3 linked regions of the Neodiprion lecontei genome follow. The protein of the gene in region 2 binds, or shares a complex with, the protein of the main gene of each other region. Links are inferred from orthologs where the notes say so. Each region holds a gene or a part of one and is shown on either strand. Other genes may lie near its edges. The genes, in order: negative elongation factor B, negative elongation factor D and negative elongation factor A.

Region 1 (6,860 bases), on a different chromosome or scaffold from region 2:
GAGAGAGCGGCACAAAATGTTTCCTGCAAGTGATCTTTTCGTTACTAAAGTAGCAGTGATATTTTACTTGTGTATGTAACGTAATATCATCACTGAGGTACAATTTGTTCTTTAATATACTGTAATAAACATTCGTTTCGATTTAAAATCGCTTAATTGTGACAACTATCGATAGATTAGTTCAACTCCTCGCATATGATAAATTTTCTCACAAATTATTTAATACTCAGTACAAAATATATTGCGTCATTTGATGACAGAGCCATGTAATTCGATTAAACGTTTCACATCACATTACAATGGATTAAAAAATTTTTAAAAATTATGGAGTCATTTTACCATGGGAATAATTGGACTTTATGTCCTTGTTACATAATGTACTATTCTTACTTATAAGAATTATTTACAGTAGCTATTAATGACTTTTTATCTTTGGACACGCACGCACGTGTTCATCCACGTACATCGTAGAGATTTAGTTATTATTTACTACGGGTTGCATGGCAGTGGCTGTTAATAGTGAAAACTACATAAAGTTAGTTCTACAATTTTTCCTTATTACCTATATAGGATGTGAAACTTTGCCAAATGGCAAATTCGTTGCAGTGAATACAAGTATACCTAAATATGCAGTTTTAAGGCATTTAGAGAGACATACATTTCCATTTTCCCTTTGATGTTTTATTTACGATTAATCTGCCCTCAGTAGAAATTATTTGCATCCACATACCTAATTGCAATTATAATGTACATGACAACTGATATGTAGAGGATAAACGCTCTGAATTTGGTTGCAATTTAGGTAATATTTTTAACGTACTGTAAAGCAACCTCGATTTAGTCAAAGTTGGAAATGTTGGTAATCAAACAAGCATGTCATGATATTCTTCACAGCGCTTACAGATTTCCGTGGACATGATTGATACAGAGTAACTCTCCATTTCTACGTTAAAAATATTATAATGAAACTAATATTGACAAATCCAATTTTAGTAGCGGAAAGAAGAAAATAAATTGAAAATATAGGTATGTAACATGACTTGATACAGTTAGGGAGTGCAAAAACTTCAGTAACATTAATTGGAATAGGAAATATGTACAATATTTCTGTTCGATTTAGTCGCACGTTTGGTCGTAAAAAGTAACGTTATATCGAAAATAAATTTGCACCTGATAACATTGGGTTTGCAGCTTATAATTTTAGCGTATCAAGGGTTGAGCCCAATATTTGCAGTCCGATGTTAATAATTTCGGATTATCGAAGAACCATTGTGACAACTATGATTTAACTGAATAGACAATTGGTATACATTGAAATTACCTCGAAACCCTTTCTTCTTTATTCCATCGTAATGACGTTGAAATATAAGACATGGGGCAGACAAATTTTTGAATGAATCGAATATTTTTGTGAACGTTCAACTGTTTTATTTTCTGTTATGTTCATCGCATATAAGTGTAAATTGCGAAATGTAGGTGATAACTATTCTCAACACAACTTGATGCACGCAATGAAAATTGTGAAATAAAATTGTTTTCTAATTATTTTGATAACCCACGTTATTTCTGACAGTTGATGATACATTTGTGATCATATTCAATTTTCAGTGGGGGAAAAGAGGGATTCCGTGATTAAAGGCAAAGGGTGATACGCTAAACAGTTTCATTTTGGCCTTAAATCATACGGATACGCAAGGTGACGTACCATATCATGGGTCAGACATGGTACCATTAAAAAAATATGTACGATGTATTTGTACACGCTACAAGTGTTGTTTCCACATTAGTGATATCCTTAAAGGAAGTCATTGGAAGTAAATAATAAAAATGCCTATCATCTATTGAAAACACATCTGAATCAAGGTGCTTCTTAATACATTCTATTCTGATATTGAATTGCGATACATTCTAATTTGTGTATAATGATAAAACTCTAAATACATCGCATACCCCGTAAAATCCTATTGTCGATGTAAAATAGTTAACGAGGCCCAGGTGTAGGGACAACATCTAGTGGTGAATCAGGGCATTCAAGTGTATCCATAGAAGTTGACGATATCAAAAGATCTTCTGTTGATTGGCTGCCAATTTTTTCTCGGAGAGATTGATAGAGACTATGCACAGCTTCGTTGTGCTGTAAATTATAATAGTTTTATAAATAAGTGACATTGACGTTAACGATGAAACTCCAGTAACGTGAGACCTACCTGGCTATTGGGCTGCAAGGCTTTCATCAGGGAATGTAATCGTGCCGGAGGAAGTTTGGGATGAATGTACCATAAAAGTTTCAAGAGGTGTCGCGTAACATTGTCCCTTGTTAATCCTGCCAGGAAGAATTCGTCGAATATGACGGTGCAAAATGATTCACCGGAAAACTCATCAGCCATATTTAAGATCAGCAGAGATACCTTTGCCAGGAGCAGATTGATTATTTCGTTGTAACAGTCAGGTGCAACATATTCTCGACACTTGTCAACTCACCAGAGTGTGTAAAAATGGATCCTCAAAAGCGCGATGCGCCTGGCAATTTGGTAGCGTTGCCAAGACCCGCATTAAGCCTCTCGCATCACCTCGAGCTCTTCCGCTACTCCCACTTCCACCTCCGCCAACGTATAAAGCGTGATACATGGATAAAACAGCTGCAACTCCAGAAAGTTGAGCGTAAGCTTGACATGCATCTGGAGGTGGTCCAGAGTGCTCAATAATAGCGATAGCACTTTCCCTTTCATCTGGTGGGAGCTTTCCATTTAATTGTCTTATCTGATCATCTACCTATTTTGAAAGGAGTTAATTTGTTACGGCAGTTTGGTAATACTAAGGTTTCAGTTGCAAAATTAATATAGAGTCAAGGAAAATCGTATATCAAGTATCAGACTAACCATGAGAGACATAAGTGCTGGCAGAAACTTCGTCACAACTTGACTGTCAAGTTTCGGCTCCTTAAAATCTTGGGAGTCGATCATTTGCCAGGCTGACAAGCCCAGGGCCAGCATTCTCAGAAGTAGAACAAGGACAGCGTTATCCCGTGGCAGAGCTTCCCCGTTAATTAGATGAAGAGCTATTTTTATTGCGCTACTAGCTAGAAAATTCACGGCGTATGGGTCACACAGTGTCATACTGAGATCCCCAAGTACTTGCTCCTGGCCTCTCTGTGCAAAAAAAATGATCCATTTTTATTGGTCGTTGCTTGAAATTATAGTTTCTTGCTATCGTACCTTGATGCTATCAAGAAATCCTTGTAGTTCTCGAGACCTTTTCACATCCACGTTTTTCTCCCTGATGCAAGCATCCAAGCACCAAGTAAACTTGTGGCATGGATCTACAGATATTATATCTTGAACCTAGAGACCAATCATCAGTTGTTTCATTAATTTGAAGAGAAATTGATACAATGATATTTTTGATTCAAACCTCTAGATCATGCAGTGCCATCAACAACTCAGCCCGAAGAGTACAGTAATGGATATTCTTAGTTCGTAAAAAAAGAGTCCTGAGAAATTGGAGTACCATGTCGTAAAGTTTCACGCTGTGACCTATCATGTGTGCCAGCTTCTGTACCACTTCTCCTTGTCTCCTCACCTTCGAATTAGACCAAGATTTGTTCAAGTCAACTTGGGGAATGTTAGGAAGCAAGTTCGAACTGAATAGCTGATAATAAACGTATTGGTCCGAATTAAACACAATCAGAACTAACCTTGGGCGATGGTGAAAAAAATAAGGCATTCAGGTTCCGATGATCGAACAAAACTTGTTCCTTTTCAATGATGTAGCGACTGAAAAGAGGCGATACCTCATCTCCGAAAAGACTTTGATTGTCCTTCCAGATCTGTCGTTTCACCTCCGTGTCAGCGTCATTGTAAAGTTCCTTTTCCCTAACCAGTACTCGTAGGTATTTGTCATCGATATGAGGGGTATTTCTTAAAATACACATAACGACTGGCCTGAGCGCGGCAACTCTAACGGCAGGAAAGCTCTTGGCCAACAGATCCTTAAGCCTACGGTCGCTTCCCCCCTTTTCCCCTCGCTCAGCCCCAATCTCGGCTATCCGCTTCACAAGTTTTTCTCTAAGCTCTTCTAATACCGAGGCGTGAAAGTCCAGCCTTCTGACGCCGTGGAGGTCCAATAGCGGTAACATTGGACGTAACGAAGGCAATAGAATACCATTTTCTAACTGGAATCTTCGGATTAGTAAGTATACTCATGCCAAGATTGTAATCGCTTGATTTAACCAGTCAACAATAGCGCCGAGTATTTACCTGGAACTCCTCAATGGCTTTCAGGGGATCGGTGCAACTGGTCAGAGCATCTCTGAGAAACACTTGGCCTGGAACTCCGAGATCCTCTAATCCCGTACCCTCCGTACTTTTGGTCGCACTCATTTTCACAGCCCACAAATATACGGTGTTTCCATCAAGGGACAGCGGTTCTGTATTCAAACCGACTTAACCTAACCTATCCTAACCTAAATAAATACAGAACTGTTCAAAGCTGAGCGTTGAACCACGTTTGACGGTTGTACATTGGCGGCTGGCAGGACAACGACAATTGTTTACAACAGTAGAATTATGAATGACTAGTCTTTCTTCTTTCCAAGATTGTTGTGCCGTCTTCCTGTTGAATATAAAATTCGTATCAATACCGAAAAATTAGAAATCGGTATTACCGGGTATTTTACTGAAAGTATCGCAGTTTTATATACATATGTTACGGAAATGAATGGCCTATAAGGCGTCTAGCATTCACCAACAAATAAGCAACTCAATAGACATGGAAATTATTTATCTGATCCGACGCACTGCGACGCACTATAGTTGACTATAGTCTAGTCGGTCGTCAACGGTCTAGCTATATTTATATGTATACAAGGATATCATACTATACCTCTACAATTGTCAGTCAAATTCAAACTTGTGACGCTAAATTTAAAAGCCGCGACACTTTTTATGATTGTTTGTAGCGTTGCTGGTAATCGTGTAAAAAATGATATGCTAAAAAGATGAATCAGCTCGATTGCGCGCCCATTTATAGTAAATTTTGACCGCGTATTTTTGATCTCGCTCCTGTCTTTGATTCTCCTAGTATATTTGGCAGTAATGCAACGTGATGGCCGCAAGTGTCGCGCGCGTCAGGTTGCAACAACGGGGTACTAAGCGAAAATAAATTCGTTTTTTTTCTAACTTTAAACAGGTTGAACAAGTACGATACAACAATGTCACGCTGAATTGATATACGTAGAAACGCGAGTTACTCAATTAGCATGTTCGCCGTTCCCGATGTCTTATCTGTGTAAAATTTATACCAATTCAAAAGTGCATTGGACGCAAAAACCGATCGGTCGAGCGATCGTTCTTTCTGCTGCTGCTGCTGCTGCTGCTGCTGCTGGCTGCTGTTGTGGGGTGGAATTCCGTTTACTGGGGTGGTGGCACCCGTCTGCCTTCCTCGACAGGTTATGTTTCCGACTTTCATCGGGATTTTAGGTGAGCCCAATATATCCGAAGCCAACTTCAGTTTAGCATCGCCGCGTACCAACCGACAGGATAACCAAAAATCGGACGCATTTTACCGGAATCAATTAGTGTTATCCAGTCGAGAATAAACACAGAACTTGCATTTCAAAACGACTGAGCGCGAAATGAAATCCGCACATTTCTAATGTTCACTTATTTTGTTTTCCTTTTTTTTTTTTTTTTGTTCTACCTTCAAAACGAGAAAGAATCTTCCAGTGACAGATGTGATGATAAGTGAATCGTGCCTGTGTCAATCGTAGTAGTTTGAACAGCGTTTACCAAACTGTAACTAGAATCAATGATGTGTTCTACTTTCTACTGGATGTGCCGCTAGATATGTGTCAGTTTTCCAATCATACCTGGTCGACTCAACGTTTTACAATTTCCTGAAACCTCCAGAGTTGAATAACCAATCTTGTGTTATTTAAAAACTTGCTGCAAATTTTTTACTCGCTTGTTTCTGTCTCCAGACATTCAATCGTGGTGGGAGGTGCCAAGTATCGCACATTTCTGCTCATTGTTTAGGGCTGCCTTCAATCTGCTGGACTTTGACATCGAGGTATCTAGTTCAATGCAAAAGTCGTGTATCGAATTAGCTAAATCAAATAGAATTTATAGAATTTTACTATAATTGTTTCTTGAGGCAGGATTTCCTGTTTGGTTAAACTCAATTTCTATCATCATAATCGTTCTGTCTAATTCTGTTCTTTGAAATGATTCATTAATAGAAAATGGAAATATTTGCACTTATTTTTCTTCCAGGATTTGGAAGAAGCTCTTCTCACAGACGGCGGTACAGAAGGCCGGCTATTGCAAGAACTAATTGTCAGATTACTTGAAGGCTGTCTACCAAATGACACTCGCAATGACATCTCTACTTTTAATTATCAGATGTTCCTCCGTAGACTCTTTAGAAAAAAGTGTCAAGTGAGTGTCTAGCTTCCAAAGTAGATTAGAGTATGTACATTAAAATTTGATGTCTGAAAGACCAATTCCTCATTTCTGATATGAACTACACCATCTAAATCAGTCTTGTGAACAGTACTCCGATTGATAGTACAATAATATATTCAACGAGTAAATAAAGTAACTAGTACCAAAAAAGTGAGAGCCTGACTGTGCTACTTTTGAATTTACTCGTTTCATAAGCTTTATCAATTTTATCCAGGGTGCTAGACAATTACTGTCAATGTAATTGAAAATTTGATGTACACTTTCTCTTCAAAATATTTTGGAGTCTACAGGTTATACAACTGAACAGAATTTATGAGCTATCTTTCATTACAGGAATATGGAAGAGATAATCCTTTCAATACGGATGTAGACTTTGAGCTTTTGCCACTACGCCAAAAG
Region 2 (7,743 bases):
ACTTAATGATTTTGCTCATATTCGTCTACTTCGTATACACAAATATTTAATAAACACAATTTGACCCAGAGAAGAGTCGTTAATTCCAATTGATTTTTTTTTTTTGGCAATACAAAGGCTGCACATGAATTTACCAATTGATTATATTGAATACAATTCGGTTCGGCTTTCATAGATTTTGATCACGTTTTATTGGGTTTCTTAACTACGGCAGTCACACAATTCTCTTAGTATTCCAATTAATAAAAAAACAGTTCACTTGGAATATGGAACAATCAGTCCTGTTTTGTATAGTTACAATACTTTAGTAAAATTTCCAGTTTGAACAGTTCAATTTATTCTAAAAATTCATTGAAATAGTTTGGTAATCCAGTTTTGTAATTTAAAAATCATCCAAATGATTTCTTGCATTTTTATTCATTTATTTTGACCTCATGACTTTGGCCAATGAGCTAATTTCACTATAAGTAAGAAATCCATTTTTATTCACTGTAAAATATAGCTACGAATATCTTTTTTAGTTACAAATTGCATCCTTACTTTTTTTCGTTCCTCATGATGCCTCTCATCTTTATTCATAAATGAATATTGCAATGGGTTAACAATATACTTTAGAAATCCGTGACCGATTCGAAGCTTTGCCTTTTGATTCAATCATAGCAGTTGAAGGATTAAAAGTTCAGATGTACTCCAAAGATTTTCACAAAATACTAAAATGTGACCCTTAATTTTAATATTTCTGATTTCTATTATCTGAGTAATTTTGTACCTTTTACAGCCGATAAATACTAAAGTCATCAATACGTAAGTTTATAGTTTCAAGTGTGATAAAACAAAAAACGCAAGTACTTGCATTTTGAAATGTTGTGAAAGTGTGAACTGATGTGTTATAATAATAATTATTTTAATCATTTACAAGTATCTATGTTTCATTATTAATCACGCATGGGACTTGATTACAATTTCGTGAAAACTAACCATCTGATTCAAGATTTTAAGCAACTAATCCTTTTGTCCAAACAATCAACAATTGATTATTGAATTAATACCATTTGAAGGCATGCAATATCGGTTGAGAATTGAATTTTTTCCCTAAAACGAACGAAGCCCTAATTATGCACAGACTGAGAGTTATGACTAAGATAGACTGAATAATTTTTTGAAAAATCGGTATGATTTATTTCAACTTCAGTAAAAGTTTAACATGTTCATTTTATTGTACGGTGGTAAAATCTTTACCTAAGTTCCAGTTATTTCGCAGCTGTATACAGCCATCTGACCAGGCTACGTCTTGACTATTGGACTCTTAGTCTCCGCCATTGGTCTTATTATCCTATTATATCGCTCTTGCGTGTAGTGGATCATGTGCATAATAGTTGACAGAGAGTAGAAAGTCCTTGTCATGATCGAATAGTCGAAGTAGCCTGATCCTGTCAGTCAAGTAGATGACACTCTACTGCCATCATATTACTAATCAATAGTATGATAAACTAATAAATATTCAAAAAAAAAAAAAACTTGAATTAACTAATTTCTGTTTAAAATGAATAACTTTGTTTCAGAGCAATAAACTACAACATTGTGGCACCATAGGGCAGTTCACCTGATGAATGCGGGTTGATTAAGAGTAATTCATGTATGATTATACCAGTTGTTATGTAAAATAAACACATCTTCACACAACCGGTAAATTTATTCTTTCGGTTCTCCATGAGCACTGGCGTCTCTGTTCTTTAACCGTCATCTCACAGCTGTGCCACTGTGTGCCTTGCAGTGAACTGAAAACAATGAAATGAATAGTACAACACTGTGTAAAGAGTAACACTTTGATGGTATTCAATTTGATGATGTAATGTTGGGCCAACGAACCTATGAACTCAGAAACAAGGTCGTTATCACCATCGCCACGCATCGTGCCTGTTATCTCATCATCTTCCACCATAGGTAAAAATAGTTGGATAAATTCCGGAGTGTATGGTGGTGCAATAGCCTCTAAAACCTAAAATGCAGATACAGATTTAGTAAAAATATAAAAAACACAGATTGCTGGAAAAGCCAAATCGGTGCTTACCTCGGTGACAAAATATCTAATAAGGGAAACGTCAGTGTCACTGCGTTGCCAGCACTGCTTAATATAGCATACAACAGGGACAACACATCCTCGACTCAATAAATTGACCATTCGGTCTATCAGCATCTTTTTCATCTCCAACTGAAATATTATAAGTTTGTCAAATACTGGGTCTTGCAATAATCGTTTATAGGAAGAGGCTTGCAAACTGTGAAACTGTGGGAAGTCTGCCTTGCTCTAGAAACTTGTAATTTCACACAGATACTAAAAATGTCTAAATTTAGGTAATAGTATTATGCGATAAAAATATAACAACTGGTAACTAGGTATTCACCTGAACAAGTATTTCGAGTTCATCCTGTTTGCTCTCAAATAACTGCACCAAGAGTTGAAGCACTTTTGGATGTAAGAGAGGATGACAGGCTACAACCTCGTCCAGAAGAGCCAAATGTATAGGACAGTGTTCTGTGCTCAATTTAAAATACGATGGTTCTGTTACCGTACATGCAACCCATCTGATCACACCAACGCTCACCACTGGAAATCTGTAATTACACATTTTATAGTTTTCTACCAATCAATCGTTTTGGAATTACGAAGCGTATGATTGCTTTGAGCTCAGATTGTGCTTACCTAATGCACTGATACAACGTGTTCAACTCGGCTATCAGTTCAGTTGAACCTTTATTAATATTGCAAATGTTATGAACTTTCTCGATGGCTTGCATCGTGGTTTTTAATTCATCTTTGTTGATCTTTCGTTGTGTTCCCTTCTTGGCTGGTGTTTCGCAAACACTAGCTGCATATGCCAGCAAGTTAATATACTTTGATTTATGCTCTGGGTTTACCTTTACTCCTGGCTTAAATAGAGCATCAACCAATAATTCTGTAGAATATTATACGACAATGAATATAGTAAAATAAAATTGTCCTGATTCACAGAAAAATAGATTTTCTTCAATCGACCGACTTCAATTTTTACTAAAACCTTCCAATTTTTACAGAGTTTCTAAATGCCAAAAATGTATTGCTACCTTGCCATTATATGTGACTCATAAAACATTTTTAGTTCAGTTCAAACTTTTTCACACATTTCAAAACTTTTCTAGAACCAATAAAATTTTGTCAAACTTGGAAGATTTCTAAATATGCGATTTTTACAGCTTCCATAACTATCTGTATTCCGTAATTATCAGTCTTATTTTTTTTTTATAACTAGTACGATTTTTAAGGGAGAATAACAGAATTAGACAATTGAATATTTACCTAAAAATTGAGGATTCCGAATTAATTCAACCGGAGGAGGTTCTGGGTTGGAGTAATTCCTAAACAATACTGTTATATCAGCCGGATTCAAAGTATTTCGTGATAACATCGAACCTAAGGCTTGACAAGCGCTTGGACTACCAGCTGCTCCGTTTAATGCCATTGTTATGGGAGTTACATCGTGACGGCTGAAAACGTATTCGTTGTCATGTACCAGTAGATCACATTAACCACAAATAAAACTGAATGATTTTTCTTACTTCTGTTGAGCGCACTTCGTAATCTCTTGTGAAAGTCGTTTCATTGTAAAACCGCCCCGAGGTTCTTGTGCTAAAATTTGTAACAATACTTGACTGTACACATATGTATGTTGCCCATGACAAACCATTTTCTGTAAGTAAAATTTTATGGATCATGAGTGATGTTTATGATTTTTGGCGGTCTGAAAAAAATGTTACTTCTTTTATTCTTATTATGAGGAACAACTTACGGCACATTCCTGTATGCTAGATTGCCAGTCCTCGGTATTTTGAAGGAATCCTGCAATGGCAGTTTTTAATACTCTCGAGAATACTTCTATTTGTTGTGCAGCTGTTGAAATGCTTGTTATTTCTCCTTGGAATCCAGCATCAGATATAAGCTAAGAGAAATGTCGTAATGGAAATGGATTATTTGATAACTTGCTATGTAGAGTATACATGATATTTTTACATCAATTATGTATAGTAGCAATTCGTGCAAACAGCAATTTTGCGCAAGGAATAACTATCACAATATCAATTATGAAATACTGGGAAGCTTTAACAAACTTATTAGCAGGTAAATAAATATTTTAAATGTTCTAATGAAATATAATTATGATTACTCACTTTTATGGTAAAATTTAACATCAAGCAATCAGGATATTCTTCAGCAAGTCTATAAATCAGTGAACGCCAAGTAGGATGTTGTATCATCTCTGTTAACCAGGCTGGAGTCTGTAAAGTAGAACAGAAATTTATTTACAAAATGATACATTTCAAGATTTTGAAACTAAGCACGAATGAAATTTGGAAAAAAAATTATAACTCACTTCACCCTCCTCAGTGAAAATTTTGTCAGCCTTTTTTGGATCAAACGTTTTAAGAATCATGTCTTTGAGATTATTTTCTACCATAGCTTGTACATCCGTTACTTTTACACCAGCAAGAATTAACCATTCGGCCAGAAGATTTGCCATCTGAGCACATGCCGTATAATTTTGAGACAATAATTCAATAACTTGTTCGGGATTACCGCCTGCTTGGAAATATCTGAAAGAAAATACTCAATTGAGATGATTTTCATATGCTTCACCAAGTGTGGATAGGCTTGGTCTTGTGTAAATAACCAATCGTAAGAACAGATAAATACAAATATACCAAAATGAAGCAAAAAACAAAATTAAATAGGAATTGTAAATTCAATGACCTCTCGGTTTGCTAGTCTTACCGTTTCAACTGAGTGAATATACCAGGCTCCATGATGTAGTCCGGCGTTTTAAACTTGTCCAAACATTCTTTAAGAACATCTTGAGGATTATCTGTTCCATCGTCACCTCCAAAATCGTCTGGGCCACCTCTACCCATGTCGTCTCCCCATCCTCCTCGATCCTCATCATAATCAGTCTCCATCTAGAATATTAAACACTTTATTGACAGATAGCTATTTGGTTATTCGATATTTAATAGAAATTAAAATTCAACGTATCTGGACTTTATACTTGTTACTTCGCTGAGAGAATTTCGAACAATTAAAAAAATATGAATATATGTTTAGATAGGACATGTTTCCTCAAGTACATATGCAATAAATAAAATATACATAATTTTGGAGAAATTATAGGTGAAGAGTAGGTTCTATAGTTTCATATGGGATTAGGGACAATGTTTAAGTCAACGCCAAGTTTTCTTTGCATTGTTAGCGATGAATGGTTGCTCAAATTTTTTAAATTCCAAAAAGCATCACTAACAGTACAATAAAGCTAAAATATGTAACTTGACAATTAGCTTTAGAGCTAGCATTACCCGTGTACTTAAAGTATACTGGCACAAGTAATTGCCTAATTTCAATCAAGAATGTCCTAAGATTTACTCAACTCCTTTGGATTGAAGTTTCTAAGATTATTTAAGGGTTTGTAACAGATAATTGTCAGTCAAAAGGAAATGCAAATAACCATTGCGAGCGATACGTGAAAACTGAGGTGCAATAAATTAACTTGCAAGAAGAAATGGTGGCATTAATAAACAAGAAATGAAAGATTGTATTAACTAACGCTGTGGTGTTTTCACAACAAGTCAACGGCAATTTTCAAGCTAAAGCTATCATCAAATTTGAGGTTAGAAATGTATTTGATGATGAAAAGTAGCTGCAATGTAGAGAAAATAGACAGTAATCCGGAGAAAATCACACGTCCGGTTGCAGTAGGAATATGTCTATATCTCTAGACGTATAGATAGAAAATTGATAGACTTTTACTGGATAAAATGAAGATTCTTACATCTCGCGCGTCAAATCGTATCAAGCGTTTCCCTCACAAATTCTTGTTATGGATCTGTACAGCAGTGAGCTGAGTGAGCTTCCAGTTAATCGCCTCGATCTTGGCCGCCATTTTCTAACGAAAAAAAATAGAGGGAAATTTTGAACACATATAAGTAGGTAGACACGTTATTGATAATAAAGAAACATATTACAAGCTAATTTTCAGCAGAAACGTTTATATAAGATATTTTTGAGAAAATATTCAGGATGTTATCATATTTGAGAAACCTGATCTAGTAAAAATGATGAAGTTGGAGAATAAATTGAAGTGACTCGGTCAATAAAATAGAACTACTACATAACCTCCGGTGAGTTTTTTTGTTTCAACACAATGCAGGGTCGACGAAATGCAACCCGATGACGCTCTTGTGCAATTCGATTATTCAGCGGACGCCAAGTGCAAATTCAAATTTCAGTTCTCGCTGGGTCGACGCGCGCGTTCAGTTTCAGTTGTCATTTGCGCTTGGTGCGCGCGGTTCTGCATCGTCCCGAGCAATGATACATCGATCATAACCTCATTAATAATTTTTCAGTATAATTGGATTCCCCGTATTCGTCATGTAAGCTTTTTTTTATGTAAGACTGGGTGTAATCGAGTTGTTGTGATCGTTCGTCGTCAAAGAACTGGTGCGTACTGTGCTTCTCACAGTACTGAATTCAAAGGGTGTATCGACTGAATATTCCTAGATGTCAAAAATATTTCTGACAGTTCAGTCTCCCATCATCCTCTCGGTTGCATCAATTAAGTGTTCAATTTTTCCAGTTGTAAAGAATCGCGCAACGGAACGACATGGCCATTTGATCAAGTCAACTATAAAACACGTAGGTATTTTTATACGTATAAATACAGTGATTGATATATACAATTCTACAAGTTTTCCACCTGGTTTCAATGAAATTTAATTCAAGGTGAACGTCCCAATTTCTAATCATTTTTATAAGGGTAGTGGCAATGTTTTCATGAATGTAACTAACGCAGTGAAAAAACGAAAAGTGTACAAATTTTCACATATTGATGTAAATCTCTAGTTTTTTCAAATTACTGCATAAATACGAAAACTTGGAACTAGATGAAAGAAAATTCAAACGGCACGTAGTACAAAAATATGACCATTTCTGATTAATCGAAAAATTCGCACAAACGGTTTTTCATTCATGACGTCTAATTAATTTGTATTAAAAAACAATCTTTAAGGTACTTCAACGCACAGCTTAAACCATATCATTCGTTCCATATGTTAAATCAGATCTTAAGGAATCAGAAATTGGATCAACTATCTTGCAAGGCGATTGAAAACCTCCAGTGTGCTATAAGTACCTACTTAGGAAGCCAAAACTAGTTGTAGGATGTGATTTGGTATTGATACCTTTGTTGCCACGTTTCAAACAGAGCTAGCAGTCTTATCACTCGCATTGATAACATTCTTAGCAGGTGTTTATTGTATCCAGCTGCCACACCAAGACAAACTTCATAGATCTGTAATTTCTAAAATAATCAGATTGAACTTGATAATCAAATTATCGATATGAAGTTGCATTAAATGGCAATCAATGCAAAACAAATAGTTGATTCTAAACCACTGACAATTTGAGAAATACAAAAAAACTATAAAAATTTCCATTAAAACAATTGAAAGTTTAAAAAATGGCATAGAAATTATTGTTTAATGTTACAAAAGTTGATCTAAATTTACCGAGTCTTTGTGTAGATACAATACTTCCTAGTTCTGTTCCTTATAAGTAAAAGAAAAAAAAGTAGAGTAGAATATTAGATTATTTCAGTAAACGTCAATAATCCAAATCGTCTATGTTGTCAATTACATTTAAACGCAAAGTAAAAAAAAAAA
Region 3 (4,630 bases), about 5.5 Mb from region 2:
AGGAACAGTATGCTTTCAATGTGATTACTTTGAAGGACTTAATGTTACTCTTTGAATGGCAAAAGCCCAAAAAAAAATCAGAAAAAAAATTGTTACAGCTTATTAGTCATACAGCTAATGGCTCCAACGAAATGTCTAAAATTCAGTATCATTTCAAGTATTAGTTGATAATTAATCTAATCTCACTTGTATCAGTCATTTTCCTGGGCATTCCACGACTTCGTACTGGCACAGTTGGGGCTGCACTTTTTTTCATATTACTAGCTGCATCTGCACTCTTTTGTAACAATTCCGCACGCAGAGCAGCACTCTTGGGTTTCCTCTTGAGTGTGAAATGCTTGATAGATGCTGGCTGCTGCCCAACGACTGATGTCAATGCTGTTTTATTCAAATAGTGGCATTCTAGCGGAAGCATAGCTGCATCACATTGTTTTTTTACCAACTTCCTCAGGTCATTGACTAGTTCACCAAATATTGGACGATGCTCATCAAGATCTGATATGTCAGTGTTCAATGAGCCTGTTGATGGAAATGTTTTCATCGCTTCAGACAGCATCGATACCCATAACTCATTGTCCAGTGATGCTACTTCGATGATTTCTTCCAACTCAATACGCCACTATTTTAAAAAAAAAATGCGTTTACTATGAGTAGTGAAAATATCAAATCAGTGGGGTATTCGAAAACTGCTGAGGCCCATGGTACCATTGATTTTCAAATACATTTCATCAATTTCAGGCAGTTATAAAAAAAATTATAATTTTCCAAAATCGAAGCTGCGGCCGGTGAGTAGGAAAATTCAAAAAATCAGGAAACAATTCGGAAATGTTCCTATTTTCACCCCCGATATAACTTAACCCCAAAAAAAAATAATAAACTCTCCCGAATTGACGAAAACGTTGAATTTTCTAAGTTCAAAGCTGCGGCTGGTGACTAGAAATATTCAAAAAATTATGAAATAATTCAGAAATGTTCCTATTTTCACCCCCAATATAACGCTACAAGTTTCATTAGGGAAAGCGAGAAGATGACTGTGAACATCTGTGTTGAGTGCTGCAACTACTAATCGACAACTGCTAAATCGTCATTGTTTATCAGGAGCTCGTAACTGTCTTGCACATATTTTCACAAATTTCTATGTTTATCCGAGTATTGACACTACTTGACGTATGGTAGAACGTGAGAATCGAAATTTCCAGCTCGGGCGCCCCTGGCCCTTATTCGCCCCTGGATTTCGGAACCTGCGGCTGAAACCTGCAGCTAACTTCAGCGTCGTCCAATAACTGCATCGTTCATCTGATAGTTTCAGTTTTATACTCTGTTATCCGAATAGATGCAATATAAAAGTAACAACGTGTATGTTCGAACAGTAAAATAAGTGCATGCAAGTTACGCGAGAGCCTTACAGGTAAAATTAGGACAAGTGTGAAATCGCTTACACAAATTTCGTCGCTTTTTGTAATTATATCATACACATAAGGTACAAATCAGAGGTTCCAAATTCCGAATGCTCATTCAAACGGTAATCCACTGAAGTTAAAGTTAATATACATTGAGGAAAAAATCAATTTTGTGCAATTTCAGAATAACTTAAATAAAAAATTCATTATATGCTTGTATTTTAATCTACTACAGTTTCCTGAATTCCAAACAATCCTAAAGTTACAAAATAAGGATATTTCCTGAAACTGCATCCTTATAATAACGTTACTAAATTCAATCTCATAAAACTCAAGTAATTTACATCGTTCAAGTCTTCTTGGTACTTTTTCCCACAATTTAAATTATTTACTCATCAATTCATACTAATTGTGGAGAAAACTGTCATGCACACTGAAATCGTTTTGTGAAACAACTAATGTGACATACGGCTGTTAAGATTTTCATTCAAAAGATCGTTTGAAATTTAAAGCACATTACAAATTATACAACTCATGTCTGTTTCAGAGAGTTAGAATTAGTTACAATACTGCGGAGGGAGCAACTTCGTCGAGGCACATAAAATATTGGTGTGAGCAATATATACCTCGGCGTGACTCACATGCAGCCACTTCACCAATGAATTTCCATAGTATAAATAAACACTGTGTCTATTTGCACTACAGAGTGAACTTAGGCAGAATATGCTAAATATGCCAAATGATCGCATGTTAGTAATGTAATCGCATAAGTTTTTTCAAAACATCTGCGGTTTCCGAAGAAATTTTCAAGTGAATGGAATATTTTGGAAATATCATCTCTGAGGGTGACAGACACCGAAAGCGTGTTTCAGACCTCTGGTATATGTTATGATTTTGGATAGTGATAGAATAATATGATTTTTTGAAACTCTACCCGGGGTATAACAGAGATCTAACTTGATTTAGCCTTTATCACTCAATTTTGGCTTGCCACGGATAATCGTTCAGGCACTCAAATATTTTGCAAAACAGTTCGGGACAACTCAACACTTAGTAAGTCCGGAGTGTCCGTTGACGGTTCACTCCATAGTGTGAGTAGACACTTTAATAAATGATATTATCATATACAAATCAAAATGGACATTTTCTCATTGTATAGAATATTTGCACTGACTGAACTGTTGCAAAACTGCAGAAGATTGGCTACCTTTTTCGCAGATAGTTTACACCAGAATTTTCATGCCTAGTAACGGAAAAACAGGAGATATGGTATCAGGTTGAAGAACTACATTTTTGATACAAGTGACAGGCTGGATATAAGAAAAACCGTTGTGACAGATTAAATGAATTGATAAAAAAGATCATTGAACATGGATATCAAGTTCAATTGTGAAAATGGTAACAAAATATGAATACTTATCGACTATTTTATAATAACGATACATACTTCTTCGACATTGCGCCTTTGTAGGTGAAAGAAAGAAAGGAGTAGTTTGAGCTTAACTTGAGTTTGCAAATCCGGAAAGCAATCTTTTATGTTTCGCAAAACTTCGGCGTTTAATTGGGAACAAATTGAGCTGCCAGTCCAGCTATCATTTGACGTGCCGAGCTTATTATGAAGCCACAACGAAGTATCACTATCTCGCACGTTTGCCATATTGAAAATTGTGTAATTAAATTCTGTATGGCCTGAGCCACGATCTTACATACAGGTCTGAAAATCTGGTGCTGGGGGGCGACTCACTTCTTGAATCCGCTTTCAATAATTCTTACATTGGTCGCAAGGGTCGCTGTAACCTAGTACGGTCACCACCACCCGTGTCGCCGCCCTCTCCCCCCCCCCCCCCCCCCTCCCAGCAGCGACGCCAATGAGCGACAGGGATAGAAAAAATTTCTTTCTGTTGTAACATCCGACCGGAACGTCCGTATGTTTTATCGACTATTATTACTGCATGTTACTTTTATCAACTAACCAAACTCAAAGTACGAGAATCTTGTAACCATAAGAAACTAAAACAACTGTCTAACTATTTGGAATATCCCTAGATGGAAATAACTATGAAATTCACTAGCCAAGGCTTAAAAACCATGTTACGAGATCTTCGTACTACCAGAGATGAGTAGGGAGATCTCCAACGCTCGGCTTTTCGTGATACCAGCTAGGTTGGAGCGTCGACGTGACACCTAGGCGGCCACGCACCGAAGGTGGCCCATTTCCGACCTGACACCTAGGCGGCCATGCACTCGGTCGCTCGAGCAAGCGGTTGCCAATCGCATCCTTGTCCCCGCTCGCACAGATGTTTCCAGGAATGCAAGGATTGGGATTTTTTTGTTTCAATTATGAATGTCAGCGAATAAAAGTATCTCCAGATTTGATAAATTTTGGATTCAATTAGCGGACGCTGAACCAAAATAATTAACCATTCCCAGCCCCAATACTTTTTTTTTTTTTTTTTTAATAAATATTATTTTTTTATTGATATGAAAATATGTGACGCCTGGTGTTCTCGAATATTTGTACACGCAGTCTATGGAAAAATATACGAAGCCAGCTCGATAACATTTATGCAAAATGTGCAATGGGCAAGTGGTTGGAGGAAATTTTTTTTTTCTCGAACTGAATCTTCCAGAGAACCATCAGCGAATTCCAAGCAAGCTCCATAAACATACCGAGCAAACGCGCGATCACGGACGTAGCTGTGGTGTGGCTGAGTGGATACCACATGAGGATGAATTTTCAATCACAGGTTCTTGCGCGAAGTTTTCCTGTATTTAAGTTAATTACTGCTGCCTCTGCTATAATACTGCATTCAAGTCTTGAACAAAACACTAAAAAACAAGTTAACCACTTAATGTAAAACAAAATGTTAGATTGAGCTTAAAATTTAAGCCGGAGTTACATAAACTAAGATAATTACAAATGCAATATTGTAAATATTGAACATTTAATGTTCATCTAAATAAATATAGTTTCCTCCTCAAAAAAAAAAAAACATGAGGATGGAGTGATGCGAGACACGGGTTCGATCGCAGTTCACTCTTTTTTTTTTCTTTTTTTTTAAATTCAATCCCGGCTTTTTTTTGTATTTTCGGAGAGAAAAAAAAATCAAAGAAAGAAAATTTCGAGAGCCGGTCGATTTTTTCCTTCTTTCCTTTTGCTTTTTTTTTTACTGAACCCACCTTTTTTGTAGTGGGGGTAACCCGGAAGAGAACAAATAATTGAAACAATA

The links.
Region 1: the proteins of negative elongation factor D (region 2) and negative elongation factor B are in contact, whole or in part, in a crystal structure (PDB 8JJ6), measured with the Homo sapiens proteins. The link is inferred for Neodiprion lecontei from reciprocal best matches to the Homo sapiens genes NELFCD and NELFB. Residues at the interface, in XP_047296144.1 of Homo sapiens: Arg63, Ile66, Met67, Glu68, Pro69, Ile71, Phe72, Leu75, Ile89, Gln90, Leu92, Ser93, Tyr96, Thr97, Ala98, Val99, Ala100, Gln101, Thr102, Val103, Asn104, Leu105, Leu106, Trp109, Leu110, Gln112, Thr113, Gly114, Val115, Gln121; in NP_056271.3 of Homo sapiens: Met49, Leu53, Leu56, Val58, Ala59, Asn60, Gly61, Leu64, Lys65, Leu68, Thr69, Leu75, Ile78, Glu79, Phe81, Gln82, Glu84, Asn85, Gly86, Val87, Leu88, Leu89, Ser91, Leu92, Ser94, Ala95, Leu96, Pro97, Phe98, Leu99.
Region 3: the proteins of negative elongation factor D (region 2) and negative elongation factor A are in contact, whole or in part, in a crystal structure (PDB 5L3X), measured with the Homo sapiens proteins. The link is inferred for Neodiprion lecontei from reciprocal best matches to the Homo sapiens genes NELFCD and NELFA. Residues at the interface, in XP_047296144.1 of Homo sapiens: Cys204, Gln205, Gln206, Leu207, Glu208, Phe210, Ser211, Leu214, Arg215, Leu218, Ala219, Ile221, Leu222, Asp223, Gly225, Glu226, Cys241, His242, Gly243, Glu244, His245, Thr246, Tyr247, Leu248, Phe249, Ala252, Met253, Ser255, Val256, Leu257; in NP_005654.4 of Homo sapiens: Leu23, Trp24, Ala25, Leu54, Leu58, Leu61, His62, Arg65, Pro88, Trp89, Met92, Val93, Ile96, Leu97, Phe100, Gly104, Ser105, Leu106, Leu108, Leu110, Asn116, Val117, Asp119, Ile120, Leu121, Glu123, Leu124, Arg125, Lys127, Val128.

Annotation. Positions count from the first base shown.
Region 1 is NC_060261.1:555,989-562,848, forward strand, and holds negative elongation factor B, read right to left. Parts: upstream 5,062-6,860; 5' UTR 4,882-5,061; intron 4,831-4,881; exon of another isoform or gene 4,612-4,830; 5' UTR 4,380-4,611; coding exon 4,257-4,379; intron 4,179-4,256; exon of another isoform or gene 4,172-4,178; coding exon 3,695-4,171; intron 3,580-3,694; coding exon 3,412-3,579; intron 3,342-3,411; coding exon 3,216-3,341; intron 3,150-3,215; coding exon 2,880-3,149; intron 2,773-2,879; coding exon 2,482-2,772; intron 2,409-2,481; coding exon 2,208-2,408; intron 2,135-2,207; coding exon 1,982-2,134; 3' UTR 564-1,981; downstream 1-563. Other genes in the region: PHD finger protein rhinoceros, read left to right, coding at 5,450-5,477, 5,978-6,066, 6,270-6,434, 6,795-6,860. UniProt on the Homo sapiens protein: Essential component of the NELF complex, a complex that negatively regulates the elongation of transcription by RNA polymerase II.
Region 2 is NC_060266.1:4,411,087-4,418,829, forward strand, and holds negative elongation factor D, read right to left. Parts: upstream 5,979-7,743; 5' UTR 5,856-5,978; intron 4,990-5,855; coding exon 4,808-4,989; intron 4,630-4,807; coding exon 4,410-4,629; intron 4,315-4,409; coding exon 4,207-4,314; intron 3,978-4,206; coding exon 3,828-3,977; intron 3,729-3,827; coding exon 3,598-3,728; intron 3,526-3,597; coding exon 3,338-3,525; intron 2,958-3,337; coding exon 2,705-2,957; intron 2,617-2,704; coding exon 2,406-2,616; intron 2,213-2,405; coding exon 2,072-2,212; intron 2,000-2,071; coding exon 1,870-1,999; intron 1,779-1,869; coding exon 1,741-1,778; 3' UTR 1,571-1,740; coding exon of another isoform or gene 1,563-1,570; 3' UTR 793-1,562; coding exon of another isoform or gene 779-792; 3' UTR 559-778; downstream 1-558. Other genes in the region: protein stunted-like, read left to right, coding at 779-792. UniProt on the Homo sapiens protein: Essential component of the NELF complex, a complex that negatively regulates the elongation of transcription by RNA polymerase II.
Region 3 is NC_060266.1:9,950,503-9,955,132, forward strand, and holds the start of negative elongation factor A, read right to left. Parts: upstream 3,083-4,630; 5' UTR 3,058-3,082; coding exon 2,848-3,057; intron 620-2,847; coding exon 187-619; intron 1-186. UniProt on the Homo sapiens protein: Essential component of the NELF complex, a complex that negatively regulates the elongation of transcription by RNA polymerase II.